Linked DNA regions of Caenorhabditis elegans. The protein of the gene in region 1 interacts with the protein of each later gene in a pairwise test. Each region holds a gene or a part of one and is shown in the gene's direction. Other genes may lie near its edges.

The links.
Region 2: the proteins of com-1 (region 1) and nbs-1 interact in a two-hybrid assay, tested with the Caenorhabditis elegans proteins (one study listed by BioGRID).

The regions. Positions count from the first base shown.
Region 1 is NC_003281.10:10,892,774-10,903,211, forward strand, and holds com-1 (DNA endonuclease activator Ctp1 C-terminal domain-containing protein), read left to right. Parts: upstream 1-3,589; 5' UTR 3,590-3,654; coding exon 3,655-3,708; intron 3,709-4,213; coding exon 4,214-4,519; intron 4,520-5,249; coding exon 5,250-5,589; intron 5,590-6,215; coding exon 6,216-6,496; intron 6,497-7,468; coding exon 7,469-7,525; intron 7,526-7,629; coding exon 7,630-7,989; intron 7,990-8,831; coding exon 8,832-9,011; 3' UTR 9,012-9,063; downstream 9,064-10,438. Other genes in the region: athp-1 (PHD-type domain-containing protein), read left to right, coding at 1-151, 630-802; fbxb-87 (F-box domain-containing protein), read left to right, coding at 1,916-1,995, 2,059-2,959; Protein unc-119, read left to right, coding at 9,875-9,935.
Region 2 is NC_003280.10:11,093,674-11,100,030, reverse strand, and holds nbs-1 (FHA domain-containing protein), read left to right. Parts: upstream 1-3,555; coding exon 3,556-3,598; intron 3,599-3,643; coding exon 3,644-3,774; intron 3,775-3,820; coding exon 3,821-4,095; intron 4,096-4,144; coding exon 4,145-4,206; intron 4,207-4,257; coding exon 4,258-4,480; intron 4,481-4,524; coding exon 4,525-4,879; 3' UTR 4,880-4,983; downstream 4,984-6,357. Other genes in the region: nuo-1 (NADH dehydrogenase [ubiquinone] flavoprotein 1, mitochondrial), read right to left, coding at 42-140, 552-873, 930-1,093, 1,216-1,860, 1,929-2,089, 2,138-2,186; rpl-36A (Large ribosomal subunit protein eL42), read left to right, coding at 2,832-2,943, 2,997-3,141, 3,354-3,414; rpl-42 (NAM-associated domain-containing protein), read right to left, coding at 6,211-6,357.

The DNA.
Region 1 (10,438 bases):
GCAGATTATCATTGTGATATTGTTCGCGATTATTATTCGGATAATTTTTATATTTCGACACTCGGCACTGAAGCGGTTTTTGTGGATGGACGGGCGGTACGAAGACCGCGGCTGACACCGTTTGAGGCAGCTGAGAAATTGAGAACTCGAGGTATTGGAAATGCCAAGAAATGGGCGGGGATTGGAAACTCCGTCTACAAAATGGATAATAAAAAATTGAGGAGTGCGGAAAATGTGGAAATTTTAATTTTTTTTCCGAAAAATTCCAAAAACTCAATTTTTTTGGTGAAAAATACTAAAAAAATCTACAATTTTTAGGGTTTTTAAGGCATATTAAAATCAATTTTTTCTGAGAAAATTCTGAAAATCCGAATTTTTTGATTTTATTTGTTTTAATGCAAAAATATCTACAATTTCTAGGCTTTTTTTCCAAATTAAATTATTTTTCCTGATAAAATTCTGAAATTCCGAATTTTTTTGATTTTTTTTCAATTTTCCTTTAAAAAAATGCCAAAAAATCTACAATTTTTAGGTTTTTTTTCTGATAAAATTCTAAAAAATTACGAATTTTTGGGATATTCTTCATAAAAAGGATCCATTACTTATTGAAAAAAATTTAATTTTTGCAGGTTCCTCAACAATCATCCCTCCACATATCAAATGTCGATGCCAAAAACATTCTGATCTACAAATTTCGCGCCAAGAGAGCACCGGTGAACTCGTTCGCTGTGGAATCCTGAAACTGGAGCACGGAGCACGTATTCAAATTGGCTGTGTCGCGTTCATCTTCTCTAGGATCTAATTATGTGATCTCTTACCTCTTTTTTTCTGTCCGTGAATATCACGTATTTTGATTTTGAAATTTTTTTATGTGAAATCGTAAAATTTTAATGATTCTTTTGGGTGTTTTTTTTTTTGGAAAAAAAAGATTTTTCCGGCAAACGACACGTACAACAATTGCTGAAATTGAAAATTTCCGGCAAATTCGGCAAACCGGCAAGTTGCCGAACTGCAATTGCCACCCATCCCTGTTGTGGGTGACAATCATTTTCCAAAATTTGAAATTGAAATGTTCAAAAAAAAATTGAGCAACGCAGGTTCTACTCCTACAACAGTAGGTGTATGGAATAAAATACTCAGGCAACTCAAATCTAATATGAAAATATTAAATAGCAATATTTTTGTAGTAAATACGAGAAATAGTGCGTCCATATAATATTACTAAAAATTTCGAATAGATTTCGATTGTCTCAAAATATTACAATTTGATCTCAAAATATTGCGAAATATTCTCAAAAGATTGCTCAATCTAAAAAGATTTCGAATAAGTCTCGGAATATTGCGATTTTATCTTGAAATATCACCCAACTACAAAAATATTGCTATTTAATATTTTCATATAAGATTTGAGTTGCCTGAGTATTATCTAAAACTTTGGGAATATCATTATGAGTGGTGTTGCTCTCGCTCTAACAGGATAAAATATCATATTTCCCAGAGTTTTCAATTGGTGTCAGAGTGTCCCATTTCGGTTTGATCTACGAGAAGCGCTGACGTTACGGTTTTCTGTACAAAAATTTGTAGATCAAACCGTAATGGGACAGCCTGACACCACGTGAGTTTGTCCGGTTATGCCCTGCATTTTGCAAATGTTATGATATTTATAATTTTTATAAATAACATTTTTCAATTGTGGAAGACTGTTAGAGTTTCTTCTGCCAAATGTACCTCCAGAATTTTTTATTTAGATGTGGTTAATGTTCATATCTCTGACCCCATGCCTGCCTGTGTATTAGTTGGAGTGGTCAGGACCAGTGTACATCTATAACGTATGTAGTACCCATTATCTTTTTCCTAATCAATAACCTGTTGGTTCACCAAGTCATTCATTTTCTTATTCATTCTTCTTACAACCATGATGAGAGGTTTTCCAATTTTTCGATTACCGCATAAACCACTACGTTTATTGCTGAAAACTATGGAGGTGCAAGATTTGTGAGTGCATTTTTTTCCCAACTGGAAACATAAATATTCTTATAAGTAGAAACAAGTTTTCAGAGTGAGGATATCGTTTTATTCAAAAACTGCCAAACATGCTGTTGAATCGTTGAATATGAAGCTCATATATTTTTATATAACAATTTCTGGGACAATACAATTTGATATCTTCACTTATAATATGGAAGATCTCAATTTGAAATTGTCTGTGACACAATCTGAAGGAAGGAATTTGATTCGAGTGCACGGTGAAAAAGTAATGACAGGAATCAGTTTGCGGGAGTTTATAGATCAAATTCTTACAATATTCCATCAAGCAACTATTCATAAGCTATTTATTAAGCATATCGACTACGATTATCTAGAAGAATTCAATAATTTGAATATTCAACTTTTACACCTCGCGACTAGGAGCTCACTGAAACATTTTGCAAGACGATTCGATTTTCTAACTTTAGAGCAAATTACTTGGGAAACTCGAGATTTCCAGTCACTTGTGGGCCTCAACTTCAAACATTTAGAAACAAGAAGCACTTTTAAACTAGAAGACTTACTCGTTTCAAATACTTCTCAAATACTTATTCATGAACCATTGCCCCTAACAGATCTATGCATATTTCTAAAACATTGGATCAATGGATCAACTGAACGGCTGGAATTATTCCATATGCGTCTTCCTCAAAATTTTCAGAAGGAAGAATTTATTCAGAATGCCTTAAGTGGTATTAAATACAAAAAACTGGACGTCGACCAAAAACTGGAGTTCGAAGCAGCTGTGGATGTATGGAAGGACTCACACAGAGAGGTGAAAAACGAGGGATTTGGAATCCAAAGGAGCGATGGTACCTACGCAATTATTGTTGTGTGTGATGAGTTTGCAACTAACAAGTATTTGAAGATGTTTGTTTGGAAGCCGATTGATTCAAGTATCGGAGATCTCCTTAAAATTGCATCGTTTTAAATGTTAGTTTTGATTTTTTCTTTGTATTTTTGCGCTAAAATACGGTAAATCTTTTGTTTAATGCGAAGAGGTACGCACCTTTAATGAGTACTGTAATTTTAAACTTATTTTTTGCCGCGTGGTTTCCGTTGCTCGAGCCAAAAAAATGCCGAAGTTATTTATTAGAATTTATTCTTGATTTTAATCGATAAATATATATTATTTACCACAAACCATTTCGACTTTGATCAAAGCTTTGATTTAAATATATTTAATCTTAAATTTCCCGCTGCAAACGCGCTCGCTGACACGGCGCAGAGATAAGAGGGCGCCAGAGAAGTTTTGAGAGAAATCATTTTTTTGAATTTTATTTTCAATGTTTCCTGAATTTCAGCTCAATTAAAGCGGAAAATGTTTATTTTTGCAGAGTATCTACGTGGTCACAAGAGGAAACTTGTACAAAATTAATTTAAATGTTAAACATCTATTTTAAAATGATTTATTATTTATTTTTCTGTTGAATAAATTGAATAAACTTAAATCTTGAATTTAAATCGTGAAATTTAAATCGTTTTGTAATTCTGGTTGCCAATTTACCAGTTCATTTCTATTTTATTAACAATTTCCGCACAGATCATCAGTTTCCCTTCCAGGAATCCCAAAAAATGGACAGATATTACGGTAGCCACGTGGCAAATTCAAGTTTTGACTCATTTATGCAATCTGTGGATCCATTTGAGCCAACACCGAAACGAAGATCCACTGGAGAGGTAATTATGCGAAAAAATCCGGAAAAGCTCGAACTTCAGAGGTTTTTCCAGCTTTTCAAGGAGAATTCTTGAGAAATTGGAAAAAACATAGAAAAACTGGCAGAGTTTGCTCAAATTTTTGTATATAAATGACTGCCTTTGTCAATTTTTGCAGAATATTGTTGAAAATCGAACAATTTCATCAAAACATTGCTGAAAATACAGAAAACCTGAAAATTTCAATGTTTTTCGAGTTTTATGCAGAAAAATGCGATAATTTTCGCCTGAAACTCGTTTTTTTTCAAAAAATCTTTTAGAAAATTGAAGTTTTGAGTATGCTAAAACAATAAATCAATTTTTCCAAAAATTTGCGCGTCAAATATGGTGTATTAAGTACGCAATTAGAAGTTGTGCAAACACCACTAATATTACACCATATTTTACGCGCAAATGTGAATATTTTGTCTTAAAATTGCAGTTTTTGAAAAAAAAAAAGGTTTTTTTTTCAATTTTCTCAAAATTTCAGTCGGACAGCATCGCCCGAGCCATCAGAAATGCTTTGGATCCCGAGCTACAGTACCCCCAGCCATCAATCGATATTTTTGGACCGTCTACATCAAATTTTGGAAATTATGAAGAAAATGATGAATCAATTCTGGCAATAGTATCCTCAACACATTCTTCACAAGAATTGAGCACAACAACGGATAGGGAAAAACCGCCGAAAAAAGTGAAAAAAGAGAAGAAAATTGGAGAAAAATTCCCGATTTTCAACTCCAAACCGGCGCATCAGCCGATTATGGATGATTTTTTATCACCTGATGATATCGAGGTGATTAATGGGATTTTTTCTATAAAATCCCGGAATTTAAGATAAAAATCTAGAAAAAAAGTTTTCCATTGAAAATTAGAGTTTTGACTTATAAAAAAATCGCGACGAGACCCATTTGAACAAAATGCGTGCGCCTTTAAATTTAAACTCTGATTTTGAAAATTCATTAAAATTTGAATTTTAAAAATTTTTCGGAAAAAATTGCATCAAACTTTTGATATTCATTCATTTTTTCTTAAAATTGGTTGAAAAAACTCAAAAAATTCTTAATTTTTCAAATTTTCAAGTTTTCTGATTTAAAATTTTTCTTTACGTTAAAAAAATTAAAATAAACTATAAAAAATGCTTCAAATTCTTTGAAAAAAAAAATCAAAAAAAAGACCGATTTTTCTTGAAAAATCCAATTCCTAAAAACCTTCTTGCTACAAATTCTGCAAAAATTCAAAACTCACAGAATTTACAGAGAAAATAAAAGCTCAAAAAATTCGTATTTTTAGCAGAAATTCAAAGTTCTAAACAATTTTGCGCGTCAATAAAATTGGATTTGAAAAAAATTAACCTGAAACTTGTAAAAAAATTATTTAAAAAAAATTTTTTAAAAAATCGCTCAATTTTAATATTTTTTGTTGAAACAATATGGCTAAAATTTCTAATATTTAGAGCAAATTATCAAAACGGTCCAAATCTCATAAAAAGTTTCTGAAAAATTCCAAATTTTCTGTATTTCCAGCGCTACCGTAACCGTCCCCGGAAACCATACGTAAAACAAATTCGAATGGACGATTATCTATTCAAAGCCCGTCGAATTGATAAAGGATCACGAGAATTTGGATTACACACAACACACGAACCAAAACGTGGAAGCAAGAAAAAACGGGATTCGATTGAAAGTCTTGAAGTTGAAAATATTCAGAAACCATCGAAAAAGCACAATGAGCAACATCAAAAGAAGCCTGAGCAACTCGATTTCACACTGGCATTCACTACGCCGAGTCCGGCAAGAAATCGCCAAAAAACTTCGAAATTGACAAAGTTTTTCGAGAAAAATCCATCGAAAACTTCTAATCGAGGTGAATATTTATTTTCAATTGTTTTTTTGAAAATTAAAAATTCAAAAAAAATTATTTAAAAAAATCTGGAAATTATTGGAAATAATTTTTAGTTTTTTTCGAACATAAAAAAAACGTGTTTTTTGCTTAAATTAATTTAAAAAAAGATTCTCTAGAAAAGATTTCCGCTTTTTTTGAGATTTTCGAGAAATATCGAATATTTGAAAAAATTTCATTGAAATATACGGAAATGAGCTGGAAATTTAAAATTTTCTTTTTTTTTTTAAACGAAAATTCGAAAAAATAATTCCATTTATCAGAGAGTCGGTTCTTTAAAAAAATTTTTAAAAACAGAAAATTTTAAAATCGAGAAGCAAATATTTCCCATATATATGGGAATCGAAACAGTAAAAAATATTTTCTAGATCGTTAAAATTTCAAAAATTTCCGTTTTTTCAGAGATTTTTAAAGAAAATCGAATATATGAAAAATTTCATTAAAGAAATAGAGAAATGAGCTGAAATTTTGGGATTTTTCGATTTTTTTTAATTAAAAAAAAATCAGAAAATCGAGAAAAAATTTCTTGATTTTTTTAAAGATTTTCAACAGCAAAATAAATTAAAAAATTAAAAAAAAATTATTTCCAGATTCGAAAATTGAAAACCGTTCGAATTCTTCATCTATCATGTACAATGATCCATCTGCCTACTCAAATGATAGTATTTTGGATGATACAATTATCTCCTCAACACCTCCTGATAAATCATCATTTCTCGCTGAAACTATGCCACTAGCGACACCAAGTCCCAAGAATTTGACACCAAAAAGAGCTCTTCCGACTTCTAGTGCTCGATCGATATTCGGACACGTTGTGCTGCCGAATCCGATGAAACGAAAGGATTTAGGTGTTCTGGCAGCAGTGGAGAAGGTTGGAAATTTCTGAAAATCTGGAATTGGAGAATAATTGTGGTCTCGCAGCGAAGATTCTAAAAATAGATAAAATCAAAATTTTCTAAAATTAAAAAATGCGGAATTTTTTTAAATTGCATTTTTGAACCCAAATTTTTTCGAAACGTTTTGTTCATAAAAAAGTTTGTAAAAATTCAAAAAAAATTTAAAATTTAGAAAAAAATGCAGAAATTGCCCAAAAGCTAAAGAACAATGCAATTTTTTTAATGTGAAAAATAAACACAATATTGAAAAAAATAAATATTTGAAAATAATTCAGAATTAAAAAAAATCAAGCAACTGTTCAATTTTTTAAGGTAAAAAAAAAATTCAAAATCAAAAATATTGTAAATCTATAAAGATTCACGAAACTTTTTTATTTAAAAAAATTCTGAAAAACTCTTAAAAAATTATTTTAAAATTCCTATTTTTTTAAAATTTCAGAAAAATTACAAATATGTATTTTTTAAAATTTTTTATTTTCTATTTGGAAAGATATAAATTCAGAAATATTTAGACCTTTATACTGAATTTTTGTCAAAAATTGAAAAAATCAATTAAATCCCAATTCCAAATAAATTTAATATCAAAACACTTAAAAAAATTTTTTAAAAAGGTAAATCTGTAAAGATTTGGAAACCTTTTCATTGGGAAAATTCTGAAAAACTCAAAACTTTCTTTTGGAGTACAAATTTGAAAATAAATTCAGAAAAATTACAAAAATGTAATTTTTAATTTTTTTTTCCAATTCAAAAAGTTAAAAAAAAAAAGAAAGAATCGAATTTTTAGATCAAAATTTTTTTTTATTGTGAAGAAAAATAAATTCCAAAAAAATACTGAATTTTTGTCAAAAACAAATTCAAAAAATTAATTAAATTTTTATTTCAAAATGAGCAATATGAGAAAAAATTGTGCACTCAAAAATTTAAAACTTAAATTCGATTTTTTTCAGGACCGCCAGCCATTGAAACAAGCGAAACGTCAAAAGACGACTGGCTCAAGTAAAAAGGTAAAACTTCTCCCATAAATTGGCTTTTCGCTACGTGGCCGCGAAAAAACTCGGTCACAGGCACATTTTTCCTCAAAAATTTCTGAAATTTCTGAAATTTTCAGCCAGAATTCGACTATCCATCGTCGCCAATCACACTTCACGATGAGCAGGAGGAGCAGGATCTGAAATTGAGAACACCCGAGCGAAAGACTCTGCAAAACGAAGAGGCGCAGAGAAAACAATTCGGACGCCACATGTCAGAACGTGAACAACTCATGAAACAACTGGTAGATCAAAAGTTTCGAGAAGAGCGAGAGAATGGAGATTTAGAGAGTCGAAGGGCTCAATTGAAGGATGGACAAGTGATTCGGAATAAGGAAATGAGGAAGAATTTGATGCACGGAGCCGCGTGCAAGTGTTGTAGAGCTTATTATGATGGTCTCGAGATGGATGAAAAGGAGAAGGAACAGTATATTAATCAGGTGCATATTATAAGACTGCCCTGGAATTTTCAAGAAATTTGGAGTGAAATTTTCGGAAATTCAGTCAAAACTCTATATAACCAAATTTTTTCAAGGTTTTTAAAAAATCGAATATTTCAATTTGGGTTTTCCAATTTTTATATTTTTATTTTCCAGTTAGCTCCAAAAAAAAAAAGATTTCTTGAAAAAAATTTCAATAAAAAAGTTTTAACGAAACTGAGGTTTCACGTGGTGTCAGAGTGTCTCATATCGGTTTGATCTACGTTGATCTACAAAAAATGCAGGAGTTGAGACGCAGACTTCTCAACTTATTTCGCATGATTAAGAACGTGCTGACGTCACATTTTTTGGCCGAAAAATTCCCGCATCTTGTAGATCAAACCGTGATGGGATAGGCTGACACTACGTGAGGTTTTTAAAATTCAATTTTGCAATTGTCATATTTTCCAGCTTGTTCAAAAAATATTCAAAAAGTGAAAAAGTGATGCGAGGTTTTTTTTTTGGTTTTTAATAAACCCAGTTTATTAAAAAAATCTTATTTTTCTATTTTCGGGTTTTCAATTTTCCTTTTTTCATACTTTTCGAAATCTTAATTTTCTTTCTATTCGGGTTTTTTTTTAGAAAAAAAACATATTTTTCGGTTTTTTCAACTTTTAGATTTTCTGGAAAAAAATTCGACAAAAAGTTTGAATAGAAATTAGAGACAATTCTCCTCGTGGAGTACACACGAGCTGCGTAAATCGACAAAACACCGTCATTTCAAAAAGTGAAATTCTGAGCGCCACCAAAAATCCCCTTTTTTCTTTTTTGCAAAAACCCCGAAAATGTTAAAATTTTTCCAGATCAGTCGCCACCGCTACGTGCACCAACCACTTCCAGACACTCCAGAACGGTATTGGGATTTGACAATGGGACCACGAGATGAGGACAGCGGAAATCATGTACAAATGACACAGAGCCGACGATGGGAAGATATAGCAGAGAAAATGGAATGGCCGACTGGAATCAATACGTGGAATTAATTGAAACATATCACTTCTTATTTTATTTATTTTCATATGAATATGTGTATTTATTGATTTTTTAGCCAAAAAACCTCTGTGGCCTAGTTTTACAAATCCTAGGGCACATTCTCAAAATTAGCGAATATTTCAAAAAGAACGATTTCTCTGGAAAATCGCACAGTTGGTGTGCGCAATTTTCACAATTTCCTCGTGGCCGAGCTTTGAAATCTTAGGTCATGATTCATGATATTCTCCACTAGAACTCACAAACACATATTACTGGAACTGAGAATGCGTATTACACAACGTATTTGACGCGCAAAATATCTCGTAGCGAAAACTACAGTAATTCCTTTAATGACTACTGTAATGTCGATTTACGGGCTCAGCGATATTCAATTTTCTTTAGTTTTTTTTCAAATTGTTATTTTTCACCGATATATAAATTATTTCCGTAAATCAACACAACCGCTACAGTACACGTTTAAAGAAGTACTGTAGTTTTCGCTACGAGATATTTTGCGCGTTGATTGTAAAATCGAAACAAAAGAATAATAATAATTGCTCTGAAATTAGATTACTCCTGCTCAATTTCGTTGCTACATATTTTTATGGCTCTTTTTCTCTGGCTACTCCCCTCCTTCAGTCATAATTCCATGCTTTGTCGGCTCGACACGGCTCATTTTCACCAATTTTCTCGCTGAAATTTGAGTTTTTAGATTTTTATTCATGTTTTAGTTTTCAATTTTGAATTTGAATTCCAAAGCCACGCACATTTTTTTTGCAATTTTTTAGAGTTAAAATAGACATCTCGCAGAAAATTTGAATTACCCGCCAAAATTTGTTCACAAAAAATTTGAAATTCTGTTTTTTTTTTCAGAATGACCGGCGGAAATGAGCAGCGGGCCGGAACCGCCAAAGGACGACGTGGAGCACAAGACTGTGAGCACTTTTTCCATTTTTTTTTAACCCAAAGACCTTGAAATGACTTAAAAAATAACGAAAAAACAAAAATAATCACCTGGTATTTGCTAAAAATAGTTAAAAGTGTTCCTATTTTTGGAAAATCTGTCTGAAAAAATATGTTTTTTTTCTTCTTTTTTGAAACATTTTTAAACATTGGCAACGACACTCCAACATCCCGCAGCTGGCCGTTGCTGAAAAATTTCTAGGCCTCGAGTGACGTCACTACTGATCAGTCTCAGGCCACGTGAATTTCTAGGCCACCGATAGCGTCATTTCTTTTCCAATTGCGAGCACACCCAGGACAAATTTGAAATTCTCTTCCATTTGCGTTTACAAAGTTTTCTAGGCCATCGGTGACGTCATTACTCTTCCAATAACGGTTCTTCTGCTTTCTAGGCCACAAGTGACGTCATGGCATTGCCTATGCCATTTTCACTCTTCCATTAGAAGCTGTGGAGGTTTTTAGGCCATCTATGACG
Region 2 (6,357 bases), on another chromosome or scaffold:
TAGGTATTAAAAAGTCAGCGCTACAAACACTAAAACGGCCTTCATTGACTGATCTGCTTGGCTCCCTGCTCGGCCAAAACTTGCTTGTGGAACTCGGCCATTCGGCGTTCGAGTTCTGGTCGGAAGTGGCGAATGAGTCCCTGCAAAGAAATGGAATTTGAATTTTTTTAAATGATTATACTACGGGAACATAAAATTCTGAGGATAAGTATTGCGCAACATATCTCGTAGCGAAAACTACAGTAATTCTTAAAATGGCTACTGTAGCGCTTGTGTCGATATACGGGCTTCAATGGAATAATTGATTAATCGATAAAATATTAAAATTAAGCTGAAAATGAGAAAATAATGCAAATGAAATATAGCTCTTGCTATTCGAAAATAATTTAATTTCAAAAAATCGAACCCGTAAATCGACACAAGCGCTACAGTAGTCATTCAAAGAATTACTGTAGTTTTCGCTACGAGATATTTTGCACGTCAAGCTTAAAAATTTTATTTCTAAATAATTGTTCAAAATTTCCTTTTTTTTAATAAACTAATAGTTTTACCTGAACTGGCCATGCAGCAGCGTCTCCAAGAGCACAAATAGTGTGTCCCTCGATCTGTTTACTAAGTTCCCACATCATATCGATCTCCGATGGCTTGGCTTTTCCATCAACGAAACGCCACATCATCTTGTTCAACCAATTGCATCCCTCACGGCATGGAGTACACTGTCCGCAAGATTCGTGTTTATAGAAAAGTGACAATCGGGCGATGCATTTAACGATATCAGTTTGCTTGTTCATCACAATAACCGCGGCGGTTCCAAGACCAGATTGAGCAGCAACCAGGGCATCGAAATCCATGAGAACTGTGTCGCAAACGTTCCTAAAAGATTTATTAGAATTTTAACAATTTTTTTAAAGTAAAAAAAAAACCCCTACTTTGGCATAAGTGGGACAGAAGATCCTCCTGGAATGATGGCAAGAAGGTTATCCCATCCACCGATGACTCCACCACAATGACGCTCGATAAGATCTTTCAATGGAACGGACATCTCTTCTTCGACCGTGCATGGATTGTTGACTTGACCGGAGATGCAGAAAAGCTGAAATTTCGGTTTTTTTTTTAAATCAAAAATTGAAATTTTAAAAGAAAGAAGTGAAGAATCGAATTTAAAAATTGACGTTGAATGCTCCACTTTTGAATCATTATTCAACATTTATTAACCTTGGTTCCGCGATTTCTCTCACGTCCAAACGAAGCGAACCAGTCACCACCACGACGACAAATTGTTGGAGCCACAGCTACAGTTTCAACATTGGTCACAGTTGTTGGACAACCGAAAAGTCCAATGTCAGCTGGGAATGGAGGCTTCAGACGTGGTTTTCCTTGCTTTCCTTCGAGCGATTCAATAAGAGCAGTCTCTTCACCGCAAATGTAGGCTCCAGCTCCACGATGAACGAAGACGTCAAAGTTGTATCCAGTTCCGAGGCAGTCTTTTCCGAGATATCCGGCCTTGTAGGCCTCGTTGATGGCCTCTTGAAGAATACAAGCTTCATTGTAGAACTCTCCACGGATGTAAATATAGGCGGCACGAGCTCCCATTGCAACTCCTCCGATCAAGCATCCTTCGATGAGCTTATGTGGGTCGTGACGCATAATTTCACGATCTTTACAAGTTCCTGGCTCTCCTTCATCAGCGTTAACAACGAGATATTTCGGACGTCCATCGAATGGTTTGTTCATGAATCCCCACTTCATTCCGGATGGGAAACCGGCTCCTCCTCTTCCACGGAGACCAGAAGTTTTGAGTTCTCCGAGAATCCAATCAGATCCTTTTAGAATGATTTCCTTCGTCTTGTGCCAGTCTCCCTGAAAAATTATAAAATTCGTTTAAATTGTCGAATAGATTATTTGAAAATAGGCAAATAAATACTCACACGAGCCATGGCTCCTTTCAATCGATAATCATGGCGACCATACAAATTGGTGAAGATACGATCACTGTCCTTCAAATTTCCGAACGATGTCTTCTCTTGTTTCACTTGAGCGTTCGCATTCTGGGCTGATGTCACGACTCCGCGCACAGCCACCTTCGGCACTGAAAGAATAGTCTTAAAACAATTGAAATTGAAATTTAAGCTCCTACCGTTCTGTCCAATTAGCCTAGCCCCAAGAGAGACTGCTGCCGAAGCCATCCCTGAAAAAAATAGTTGAGATAAATGAAAGATCGATGGAAAATCTGCAAGCACAATAAACATTTCAAACAATAGCTTTCCAGTCAATAATGCTACGAAAATTTGAAAAATATCTATTAAGCTGTTTAAAAGTATTATTTTATTTGCATATATCAAGCTTTTCAATTAAAAAATCAGTTGATTCGTTGAAAAATCAGGCAAAAAATAGAAAATAAAATAAAACCGACGTTCCAGCGGTCGGAATTTCGGAGTGTCGTTTACTAAACTTAAAGGCGCACGCACTTTCGCTTTTGGCGTCTCGCAACGAAAGTGGCACACAACAAACGAGTGGGACAGTATGGCTTTTCAGGCAACCTGTGAATTTTAATGCTGGCCTACGGTTTTTTCACGTTTTTTCCCGAGAATTTCGGAATTTTTTTGATAAATTGGACTGAAGAAAAATCTGCAATTAATTCTGTGCTCGTTCCTGGAAAATCTATCTTCAAAATTCGATGAAATAATAATTTTTTGGTGAAACCGAATTTTTGTTGGTGAAACTTATTTTACAGCCGTTTAACTCTTGATTTTTTCATTACTCACACTCTTCATTCAATCTGCACTTATATCTCCTATTTTCTAGTAATTTTTTTACAATTTCCAGGTAAAATGGTCAACGTGCCAAAAGCCAGAAGAACCTTCTGTGACGGCAAGTGCCGCAAGCACACCAACCACAAGGTTACCCAATACAAGAAGGGAAAGGAATCCAAGTTCGCTCAAGGTACGTTTTAAATTAATAATAATAATACCATAAAATTCAACGTTATTTTTTAGGACGTCGTCGTTACGACAGAAAACAATCTGGATTCGGAGGACAAACCAAGCCAATCTTCAGAAAGAAGGCCAAGACCACCAAGAAAATCGTCTTGAGAATGGAGTGCACCGAGTGCAAGCACAAGAAGCAACTCCCAATCAAGAGGTTCGTTTTTATTTTGTTTTATTAAAAATTAATTCAAATGAAGTGTGTTTTGTCGTATTTTTTAAAAGCTTGTTTAGGAATTTTCAATTTAAAAATTATACCTGAAATTCACCTGATTTCACCTGAAAAGCGTTCATTCTTGACTTTTATTCAAAAACATTAAAAAATGCATTATGTGATGATCTTACATTTATATAATTTCTTAATTTCAGATGCAAACACTTCGAGCTCGGAGGACAGAAGAAGTCCCGCGGACAAGTCATCCAGTTCTAAGCTGTTAACTTTGTTGTTGTATTCCAAAAATAAACGTTTTTGGTTTTTCCTGTGATTATAAAGAACCATGTTGTTACTTTCAGAATATTATATTTAAGAACTGGGTATAATCAGAACGTCTTTTCAAATTTTTTTTTGTAGATGCCCATCAATGGCATAAAAATCAAAAACTCCTCAGGCGAAGGTATAGATTTATTTCCTCTGCGTTTACAGTATTAATTCCTTCTAGAGGTTTATGTGTTGAAAGAGAAAGGCTCCGTGGTCAACTTCGGTCGGGAAAAGAAAGTCTGTCACATCACATTTGATCCTCATGCCGCTCGAGTTTCAAGAATTCATGCGAGCATAGAATGGGGCGATGAGGTATTATTATTGAGTGAAACAGCGTAGAATATAATTAATTTTGTAGGGTCTATTTTTCACCGATAAAAGTAAAGAAGGAACCGAAATCAACGGAACACGATTGAAACAATCTAGTCAGGAGCTTCACGAAGGAGTGTATCAGCTTGCGATTGGTGGAATCTCTATGACTCTGGAAGTTGACGGCGATGAGCTAGAAGAGACGGTCATAGATTCTCCACAACCCGATGAATCCAGTACTGTTCCGGAAACAGTTTATGAAGAATCTCGATATTCAAATTCTAGCATCAAAGAAATGCCAGCTGTTGAGGTGACCGACGACGAGTAATCCGGCTAAAATAATTTAAACCATTAATTTTAATTTTATTTTCAGTTTTGACGATGTTTCATCTATCTCCACATTCAATATTACCAAGTTTAATCCAAGTAGCATACGTAAGTTCTGTACTATTCTACTAGTAATATAATCTAAATGCTCTTTTCCAGGCAAACGAAAACCAGAAGGCGATGTGTTTAGCATAGATCGGCCACGTGGAAAAAGAGGACCGATTTCCTATCGTCCGCGTATGAATTTCGATGATGAAATGGAGAATCGTGGAAGTAGAGGCCCAAGAGCACGTAAAGCAGATAAAAGTGGCGTCTTCGACGAGGAAGCTCCAGCGAAAAAAGCCAAGATAGCTCCTCAAGCTTCTCAAAGTCTCATAAAGAAGTAAGATTTTTAAATTAATAGATTTCAAATACAATGTTCTCCAGTTTTTTCAGACCGAAAGCCCCTTCCGCCGTGGAGCCAGATGACGTGGAATCCATCGTGAGCCAGGTGGCAGCTCTTCCATCAGTCAGTCGGGAACCAGAAGAGGAATCGGATGATTCGGATCTCTCCGATCGAGGACCGGCCGCGTTAAACGAGACCATCAAATATTGTAATCTGATTTTTCAACAACCAAATAGTTTCAAAAAGAACGAGACAACATTCGACTCAAATGTTCCGAATTTTAAAAGATTCGTTCCAAAAGGACTCAGAGATGGGAGAACATCTGCCATTTCGATGCACAGCACGACGACATGCAACACAACAATTTCGATGGTCGACTCGAGAATTGTGCACTGAACCAGAATCTCTATTTTATTTTATTTTTTAACAAAAATCGATCATGTATTCAAAACATTCCCATATGCTCCCAATATACCGTGTGAATAAAAACTATTTTATTTAGAACACACTTCTTCAAGCGCACAATACTTTGTGTGCCATTTTTCATTCCTTTCCAGTTCCAAAAGAGCAGGCAATTACAGTCGGGGCACGAGGCAACTGCTCCGGACACGAGCTATCTATCAAAAAGTGGTGGAGCGCTCTACATGGAGAGGCGCCTTTTTGGTTTCTGGGAGCCTCTTCTTTTTTGGCTCTTCTCGTTTCAATCAAACCCTCATCGCCACAAATGAATGAAGAATGTACGCGTGTTTGAATGAGTAACGGCAAGCCCATTTCCAAAATTTTTGGGAATTTACACGCTTTTTTTTGTTGCAATACATGCTGAAATTCGAAATTTGTCGAACATTGCACAATTTTTGAACCAAAAATACGGCTTCAGGTCTCGGCACGACAATTGTTTGTTAAATGCGATTAGGTGTGCACCTTTAAAGATTACTGTAGTTTAAAACTTTTGCTTCCGCGCAATTTTTAAATCGATCATTTTATTTAAAATATAAAACTATAGTTAACTACGAAAAATCAATGAAAATTGCGCAGAAGCGAAATTTTAAAATTACAGTAATCTTTAAAGGCGCACATCTACTCGCAGTTAACAAAAGTTTGCCGTGTCGAGACCAGGTACCGTATGTTTGGCGCAAAAATCTCATAATATGATAATAATGAACTGAGCAAGCCCTTCAATTCCAATTGAATAGCACTTGAGCATTTCCACGATTCACTGAAGAGAACTTCAGTTCTTTTTCAACGAAACAATTTTCATAACAATCGTTCCGAGACCCAATGTTTCTCACCAATTTGTAATCGGATCTCATTCAACATGTCTTTTCTCACAAGTATGAATAATTAACGTCCTTCCGGCAAGTTCAGGTGTTATTTTCACACCCAACTTTTAGCGTTGGAGCGCGCTTGCATCTCGATTTCAAATGGCGCATTTTTCTGCTTACAGATAATAATTCAATAGGCGTACTGTAGAAGTGTAGGGTTACTGTGGTTAAAAAAAAAGAAGAGTACAGAACATGACTTTATTCGGTACTTGTGTATTATTTCCCCTCATTTCAATAGTATCCATTTTAATAAAGCGTGATGTCATTTTCCCTTTTTAGGCTTAGAAATGGTTATTTCCTAAGCCTAAAAATACAAAAACTCCACACGTTTTTAATAAAAAACTTGTTTTTTTCAAAATGAGGGGAAATAATACACAAGTACCATTTATTCAAATCTAAAAAGCTCTACAAATAGTCCATTGGCCCGAGCTGCACAAGTTGTTCATCGAGCATCTCTCGTTTTTTCTTTTCAACCTCCAACTGCTTCTTGAGATTTTCTTTCTTGAACTTTTCGATCTCCATCTCCATTTGGATATTATCCCACTTGAGCTT